Linked DNA regions of Oryza sativa Japonica Group. Each later gene encodes a partner of the first gene's protein in a complex. Links are inferred from orthologs where the notes say so. Each region holds a gene or a part of one and is shown in the gene's direction. Other genes may lie near its edges. The genes, in order: dolichol-phosphate mannosyltransferase subunit 1 and dolichol-phosphate mannose synthase subunit 3.

Region 1 (4,472 bases):
TACTTACGAGGTAACGAAATAGTGTAGTAAGATTTGCCAACCTAGATCAATGGGGATCCACTTGAATATGGGAAGGGCGAGTGCTTTGGTTAACAACATTGTGGAACCTATAGGCTATGTATAATTTTAGTGTGGGACCCCCGGACCAAATCACATTGGACACCTGATCCAACCCAATCAAATAGGCAAAGCAAGCAACCAGAATGCAAGACGCCTGATGGCCGAATGCTAATTAATGCCAGATGCCTGACGGCCAAACACTAATTGCAATCTGCATCCCACAACTTAATTTATTAAATTGATGGATTGCTTTCAGATTAATTAGGGGTATTGGGCATTTTGTTTATTCAATTATGTGCACTGCCACAACTGATGCTTACCGTTTACACTATAATCGGTAATCGGCAGTCAGCCAAGTCCTTAGGTAATTAACTGATAATTGCTTTGTAGAATTAATTTGTGTGATCGGCAGTCCACCATGTTTTTAGACATTTCCTGAGGAAGCATGACTGATATGATACTTGTGAGATGCTTAGCAAGCAGAATTCATAGCAAGTAAAATTATCTCCTAAACAAGAGCAAATAACATAGCGAGACGAGAGAACCAACTGACTAAACATTTGGGGCCCCGTATCATAAGCAACCCTGCCCAAACCCTAGGTAAACAATTTTATGACCCCAAAATAATAAAAGCACAAAATCTTTATTGTTTGAGGATTTAGGAAGAGAGGACATCACCTTAACCTGGAGTCTGTACTGCGTAGTGCCGTAACCCACCACAGCTCCCCGGCGGGCGCACGCGAGGAGGAGCCGGCCGACGGCGATCCCAAAACTCCAGAGGCCACGCGCGAGGAGGCGGCGGCGGTGGTGGAGAAGGCGCCAGCCGACGGCGAACCTGACTCACCGGCGGCCGCGAGGAGGCGGCAGCGGCGGGGTAGGGCGAGCGTCGGGCACGCGCGAGGAGGTGGCGGGGTAGGGGGCGCGGCTGCGGCGGGTGCGCGCTCGGAGTTGGCGGCGGCGCCCGGCGGTCCGGCGGGCGCGTGCAAGGAGGCAGCGAGCGGCTCCGGGAGGCGGCGACGGGCTAGCGCACGGGAGAGAAGTTTTTTTTTTCTTTTCTGCTTCTTTCTCGTGATCGATCGCTATATCGCTATAACCGCTGCTAATCGAACGTGGGGATGGCTAATTGCAGAGGTTGATCTAACTTTTGATATAAATCGTTGGATGAATATATTTAAAGGTCAGTAAAGATAGGTATTTGATGAACTCGTGCTTTTTATATTAGTATAGATATAGATGACGATGATGACCGTTTGAATGGGAATGCTTGCTTATGTAAACTGAAACGGTCTAGACTGGAGTTGGCACGAAATGCGGTGCTTCCTGTGATTGGCCTGTCCATTCTCCATTGGATTGCATGGTTGGTCTTTGCCAAACCATACCGTTTCTCTTCTACAGGCGCATACAAAGCGTTTGCTTGTCATGGGCTAGACACGGCCCATGGAAACACGTCCATGGTCTGGATACGGCCCACGCTGCGGCCCTATACATCTCAATGGACCTTGCGGTGGCGAAGCAACTCCTCGACGAGACTTCACGCCGGCCGCCCTGCTCGTCGTCGCCGGCGGCATCTGCGGCGCGCGCGCGTCATCCTCATCCCCAGCTAAGTGGCCTCACCGTCACCGAGCGCCCGCGTCGGATCGCGTGCGGGAGAGAGCGGGGGGCGGAGAGATCTGGTGCGAGGTCGAGTCGGGGCGCCGGCGATGGCGGACGACGCGGGCGGCGGCAGGCGCGAGTACAGCATCATCGTGCCCACCTACAACGAGCGCCTCAACGTCGCCCTCATCGTCTACCTCATCTTCAAGCACCTGCCGTAACTCCCCCCATCTCTCCCATCTCTATCCCCCCATCTACTGTTGATCTGTTGCTCTTCAGTGGATCGGAGAAGGTTGTTGTCAGATCCGGATTAGCCATTCTTTTAGATTCAATTCGCGCCTCTTGTGATTTCACAAGAACATATGGAAAGTATAGAAGACGATTACTTATTGATCCAGTGCAATTGAGACGATGTGATGATTTGATCACTTTCAGATTTTAGCTATGCTCTCCTAGACACCCTTCATCGGTGCTCCTGAGTGCAGCTAACTTGCTCAATTGTGCTAATAGAATGCTGCGAAGAATGTTACTTTGCATGTTGCTTGTGTCAAATGGGCAGATAGAAATCCATCCAACTCTTTGAATTGAGTGATTATTTAAGAATGCCACCAGACAGCATGCTTATGTTCAGTCTACAGTATATATTTCATCATCGATTTATACTGCTAGCGTTCCATCAGTATTCAACTCATTATGCCCGTGTGTTCTGCAGCCCTGTCCCTGTGTCTCTTTATGACAAGGCAGTTTTATTTATTTTGTGAACTCTTTCGAGTTATAGTATCTCAAACTTTAGATTTCCTCATCAGGGATGTCAACTTTGAAATCATAGTTGTGGATGATGGAAGCCCTGATGGAACTCAAGACATTGTAAAGCAGTTGCAGCAAATATATGGTGAAAACCGTGTTGTAAGTATTTTTGTATAGTGCTCCCTTTTGTCTAGGTCTTTATATATATATGATTTGTCTTGGTATCATGGCTTCCTGATATGTGTTTGATCTGACATGAGACCAGCTGCTGCGAGCTAGACCGAGGAAGCTAGGACTTGGTGAGCTCCTATCCTCCATTCAAGTCTAAGGTGAATTTAGTCTTCACATTTGAGTTAACTAACAACTGGAAATGGTGCAGGTACTGCATATTTACATGGACTAAAGCATGCCTCTGGGGACTTCGTTGTTATCATGGATGCTGACCTATCTCACCATGTATGTAATTCCTCAGTTTTTCTTCTATCTGATATTTGGCATGCTTAAGCTGGTGTTTTCTTCCTTTTTGGTTGACGCCTTTTTTCCTACTCTGAACAGCCGAAGTACTTGCCAAGCTTCATTAGGTAAGCATCTTATCTTTGAAGATGTATTCAATCCAGAATTTTCTTTGCAAAAATAGTCTGCTATAGCTCATTTTCCTCATCAATATGCTTTTGTCAACTCTAAATGGAATTGGTATAGCCGTATAGGTATTAAATACTTTAGTGTTGCTGAAAGATTGTTTGTGTCAGATGTTAGAAATATCTGAAACTTTAGAGCAAAGTCCATTACAGTTGGACTCTTACCAAGGCTACTACACTGATAAGAAGTAACTTAGAAGAACCTTTGCCCTTTGGGTTAATTGTCCTCTTTGCATCACCAGGAAGCAAAAGGAAACTGGTGCTGATGTTGTAACTGGCACCCGTTATGTTCAGAACGGTGGTGTCCATGGTTGGAATCTCATGCGCAAGTTGACTAGCAGGGGAGCAAATGTTCTAGCACAAACATTACTACAGCCTGGAGCTTCTGATTTGACTGGATCATTCAGGTGTGTCTCCTTTTCCTACAATAGAGTAAGCTCCACATAACTACTATTAAATTGATGCAACATTGCGACCTGATTTCCTAGGCTATATAAACGGAATGTCCTAGAAGATTTAATCTCCTCGTGTGTCAGCAAGGGATATGTTTTCCAAATGGAAATGATTGTTAGGGCTACCAGGAAAGGTTATCACATTGAAGAGGTAGATTATGTATTCCCATTTCTCTTTGTATGATTGTATTGTTTTTTTTTTGTACCTGGCTATATGGTAGTATTGTTGGCATGCTGCTTCTTTGAATGCTGAAAATTGTGATTTATATTTTTCAGGTTCCAATAACTTTTGTCGATAGGGTTTTTGGAACTTCAAAACTTGGTGGATCTGAGATAGTTGAGTATCTGAAAGGCCTTGTTTATCTGCTGCTCACTACATAGGGAAAAAACCGCTAGGCGCTTAACTGTATCAGACACAACTCGTGATAGAGGAACTTCAATTTGTTATATCTACAGTTTTGAGTTGCGTGAATTACTGATTTTCTGACTTGCCAGTGGGTTCTCGTACAGTGTATTTGGTGTGTAAGTACACTTTCATGAGCAAGGGCAAGAACACAATTGTACCATCTATATATGAACTGCAGAGAAAGCTTTGGGTACGGTTGCTTGTGTTCTACACTTTTTTTAGGTAAACCTCAAAGAGGACTGGGAGCAACTGTTTTCATTGAAGAAGAAGAGACTTGGCCCAGTTTAATATCTGAATGAGTATGGTTTGATGAACGAGACTCTCATGGTCTGACTCGTACACGAACTAAGCAAGATTTATTTGATTTCAGTGAGATCACCAGGATATCAGGCATTTGTTTGGACGTGTTACCCCTGGAAAGTTGATTTGGGCGGATGATCATTCCTGCTGGAGTTCATCAGATCGGTAAATAAAACGGCGAGACACAAACAAGAGAGAAAAGGAACAATGACAAAATTTCCTACACAACCTTAAATGGAAACTGTGGCATATAAAATGGCATCAATGACACCCATA
Region 2 (3,824 bases), on another chromosome or scaffold:
GGCCAGCAGCGTCGAGAACACAAGCTTTCGGAACCTTCGCCTTGGTCACCACATGCGGCCGTGCGCGCGAGCTCTGCCGGGGAGCGCAGGGAAGATCCGGACAAAGCCAAGGCCACTTCAACCCGGGACTCCTGCGACCTCCTCACACCGGAGCTCGACTGGCAGCGCTTGCCTTCTCTTCCCCTTCCAGCGGCGCTCCGGCTGTGTCGAGAGTGGAGACGGGCGGACGGCAGTCAAGCCTCTTCGTGGGCCGATTTTTCTTACGTGGGCCGCGACAGCTTAGCTTGTTCGTTCCTGTGTTCCATCGCTCCCGTCCGATGCCGATCGAACGAATCAGCATGGTCGGACGTCCCTCAGAGGATCCGGTTTCCAACCGGAACCACCTCCAAATCCATTGCGTCTGCTAAGCATTTCATGCGCTTGAGAAGCACAATCTAATTATTTTAGAGAAAATCTAATAAATGTCATCGATAAACTTAACTTTCTAAGTACAAGCGTTTTTGCCTTAGAAATGCCATCATTATTGAGTTTTCGTTAGCATTCCTATGTAAAGTGTTGTAATAAAATCATTTTACCCCTACAAATTATTAAAAGTTCACTAAAACTTTTACTCTTTCCATTAGTTTACACTAATTTGTAGTTTGCTCTTTACGCTAAATTATTTACGTTGATTAAAAGAGTAAAAATTTTTATTCATCTTTCAACAATTCATATCGGTAAAATAGTCTATTTATAGCACTTAACAGAGGGTTACTAACAAAAGCATAACATCATCATCCACTAACAATTATTACATCTTAAACATCATGTAAGCATGCTATATTATCTATAATTTTATAATTTATTAATTTTAATACAAGCATGTTTAATCATCATCCCACATAATTCACATAATATTTCAATATATCTCCAATCATACCGTGGAGACAAATTATAGTGGGCTTGCCATAGCACGAGACTATTGCTAATAGATAACTCATATTTAATTGTGCTAGAGAAAAATAAATAAATTACAATTTGTACATGTATCCTTAAAAGTTTTGATGTGATATCATCCTTTAAACATTCTTTTTATCTACACAAAAACGAACTTTACATTTTTGTTACAATTTGGACCACCTCATTCTATCCATCAAACTCCAAGTCCGGTGACTCCACCATCGCTCCACCTCCAAATCAGTGACTCTGCAATCACTCTGCACACTAACTCTCTCTCTCATTTTTCTTTTTTCCTTCGACAATTGGGGAATCGTCGGATATAGTAAGGAGGAGTCCAAATCTAGCATCTTCGCTTTCTGTTGGGTTGGCTCCTGCCTCCCCGAGCCCTGTAAGCCCAACAATCCCATCCTTAACGACGACCATGACAATAACATGTATAACAATGAGGGAAGAGAAAATACATGTCGAGATTTAAAGTGTATGGCTGCGCATACGAAGGCAGAGTGGAGTAACGATGGTGTGGTGCTGGTGTATAGAGCGACAGTTAGTTGCCAGGGATCCAAGAAGTTTATCGTCGTGAGTACTGCTGGCAAGTGGTTTACCAGTTATCGTAAAGAATTTTAAAGTGAAAATTTTGAGATAAAAGGTGGAGCACTCCGTTATCTCCCCCTTCCCTTGGCGTAAAACAAAATCTCCCGTCTCGTCGTCGCCGCCTCCGCTCCTTGCGCCATCTCGCGGCTGAACAGGGGAGGGGCGCCGATCTCCATTGGCGAGCAGAGCAGGGCGCGGGAGGGGAGGGGATCCTGGTGAGCATCCACATCCTCTTTCCGATTTATCTCTCTCTCCCACCGGGAGTACTTTTGTCTGGAATTTGCTTGCGTCCGTTAACCCTAGCTTCTCTTCTAGATCTGGAAGAATATCTTCTCTTAATTTCAGAGCCTTAACCTTAATACAAGTAACAGTTTGTTTGTTCCCCAAAAAGTTTAGGGGTTCAACTGAATCCCCGTGTCCCAAGTTGGATCCGCCCCTTCATGCTTGTGCTAAGTCTGCTGGACTTCCTACTCGCCATGGGTCTGCCTTAGTGCTAGCATACTGAATTGCTAGTGCAATTATGCTTGCAATTCATCTTTTGAGACTGTAACATTCGGGCACATTTTATTTGCCGTTCTCATTTGGTTTATCTTGGCAGAAAACACTTGGTTTCCCAAATGAAGCACATATTCAAGATAATTGCTATGCTGGTGGCAGTCTCAGCTATTTGGATTGCCCTTCTTGAAACCGCGACTGTTCCTCGAAGTTATACTTGGTTGGTCAGTGCTATCAATTTTCATCTCAATTTCCTTGATGATTGTAGTGCAAGATGATTAAGGATAAGGGCTTTATTTATGACTTTTTGTTATTGTAGCTTCCCATCTACTTGGTAGTGGCACTTGGATGCTATGGCCTTTTTATGGTTGGATTTGGGCTTATGTTCTTCCCAACTTGCCCGCAAGAAGCTGTACTACTACAGCAGGTTAGTTGTTCTAGATCCATGAGCCTAAAATTTCTGTGCATGGGCCTATGATGATCTTAATTAGTTTGAAACTAGGACTTCTATGACTTGAAGATGTTAGTTAGTATATACCAGTGAAAATTTTCGACTTCCTACTCTATCTCCCCCCTTTATTCTCTGTTGATATGAGAAATGGGTGTTCAAGGTATTATTATGTGATGTAAATGAATATTTTTAAAGTATGCAGTTTGCACTATGGTAACATGAAAATCTTCGCAATTGCCGTTGCATGATTCAAAGGAAACAACCCAACTGATATTGAGATAATTCACACTTCCATTCTGCTTCAAAGAAATTATTAGTCTATTCTCAGTTGTATTTACTTAATTTGCAGGATATCTTGGAGGCAAAGGAATTCCTATCAAAGAAAGGTGTTGATGTTGGCTCTGAATAATGTCAAGATCGATGATAGATGACTTGAGGCTAGTTTGGGGACAACTTTGTGCTCCCTTATATGAGTTGTTTTGGGGGCTTTATAGCTAGGTATATGTCACTTCGTAATGATCATTTTGCTAACACAATTTTTCATGGTGAGTCCTTGTTACATACTGAATTTAAGACCTTTTTCTTTTAGGAAATATTTTTTATGGAAAATGAAATATGATTGTGAAGTAGGAATGGTCTGTTGACAAGTGCATTACTGTTCAGGGTGTTTGTCTCCTCATTTCTGGATTTCCCTCTAGTGGTTATGTATCAATTGTGCAGTGTAATATTACCTTGTCCCTGGCACAGTGCTGAAACCGACTGCCTGAAATACTCTGTACATCAGATCGTCCATAGAAATTTCTCTGAATCTTTTGCATTACAACTTGTCAGGCAGGCACGAAGCCTTGACCAATATTACAAAACAATAGTAAAATCAGACATGATACACGTATACTTTTAAATTATGCAGTAAACCTATGCTAGTTCTTAACCCTATCTTGCTTATCTGACAGTAAAAATATCACACATCATCACAGTTCACACCAAACCTTGCCCCTATGAACCAGCTATCACACTGTACATAGTAAAACATTTTCAGTTACAGCACAATTGTGTGCAGATGCAGCAGACAGAATCCTACCTACTACTACCTTGAGGTAGTAGCAACCAACGACGAGACCTCCTTATTGGAGGCTGGTTCATCATCGTCTCCGACTCTCCGCCTCCTTGGAGCCCCTGCTTGCAAGAGTTCTCAGTGGTGAGTAGTGACATCGTCACAGCTGGTTGCTACTCCCTCCGTCACAAAATAAATCAATTCCTTATGTGTAGGTTTGTGGTCAGAAATTGATTTATTTTGGTATGAATGAAGTATGTATCTTATGTGCATGTTCAGAAGCAATGGCAGATG

The links.
Region 2: dolichol-phosphate mannosyltransferase subunit 1 (region 1) and dolichol-phosphate mannose synthase subunit 3 share a complex: the UniProt entries of both Arabidopsis thaliana proteins name them as parts of the dolichol-phosphate mannose (DPM) synthase complex. The link is inferred for Oryza sativa Japonica Group from reciprocal best matches to the Arabidopsis thaliana genes DPMS1 and DPMS3.

Annotation. Positions count from the first base shown.
Region 1 is NC_089037.1:35,602,369-35,606,840, forward strand, and holds dolichol-phosphate mannosyltransferase subunit 1, read left to right. Parts: upstream 1-1,574; 5' UTR 1,575-1,760; coding exon 1,761-1,870; intron 1,871-2,459; coding exon 2,460-2,559; intron 2,560-2,665; coding exon 2,666-2,699; intron 2,700-2,779; coding exon 2,780-2,856; intron 2,857-2,955; coding exon 2,956-2,981; intron 2,982-3,280; coding exon 3,281-3,445; intron 3,446-3,526; coding exon 3,527-3,641; intron 3,642-3,766; coding exon 3,767-3,871; 3' UTR 3,872-4,089; downstream 4,090-4,472. UniProt on the Arabidopsis thaliana protein: Transfers mannose from GDP-mannose to dolichol monophosphate to form dolichol phosphate mannose (Dol-P-Man) which is the mannosyl donor in pathways leading to N-glycosylation, glycosyl phosphatidylinositol membrane anchoring, and O-mannosylation of proteins; catalytic subunit of the dolichol-phosphate mannose (DPM) synthase complex.
Region 2 is NC_089036.1:31,991,835-31,995,658, reverse strand, and holds dolichol-phosphate mannose synthase subunit 3, read left to right. Parts: upstream 1-1,616; 5' UTR 1,617-1,745; intron 1,746-2,128; 5' UTR 2,129-2,147; coding exon 2,148-2,249; intron 2,250-2,344; coding exon 2,345-2,452; intron 2,453-2,825; coding exon 2,826-2,885; 3' UTR 2,886-3,254; downstream 3,255-3,824. UniProt on the Arabidopsis thaliana protein: Regulates the biosynthesis of dolichol phosphate-mannose. Regulatory subunit of the dolichol-phosphate mannose (DPM) synthase complex; essential for the ER localization and stable expression of DPMS1.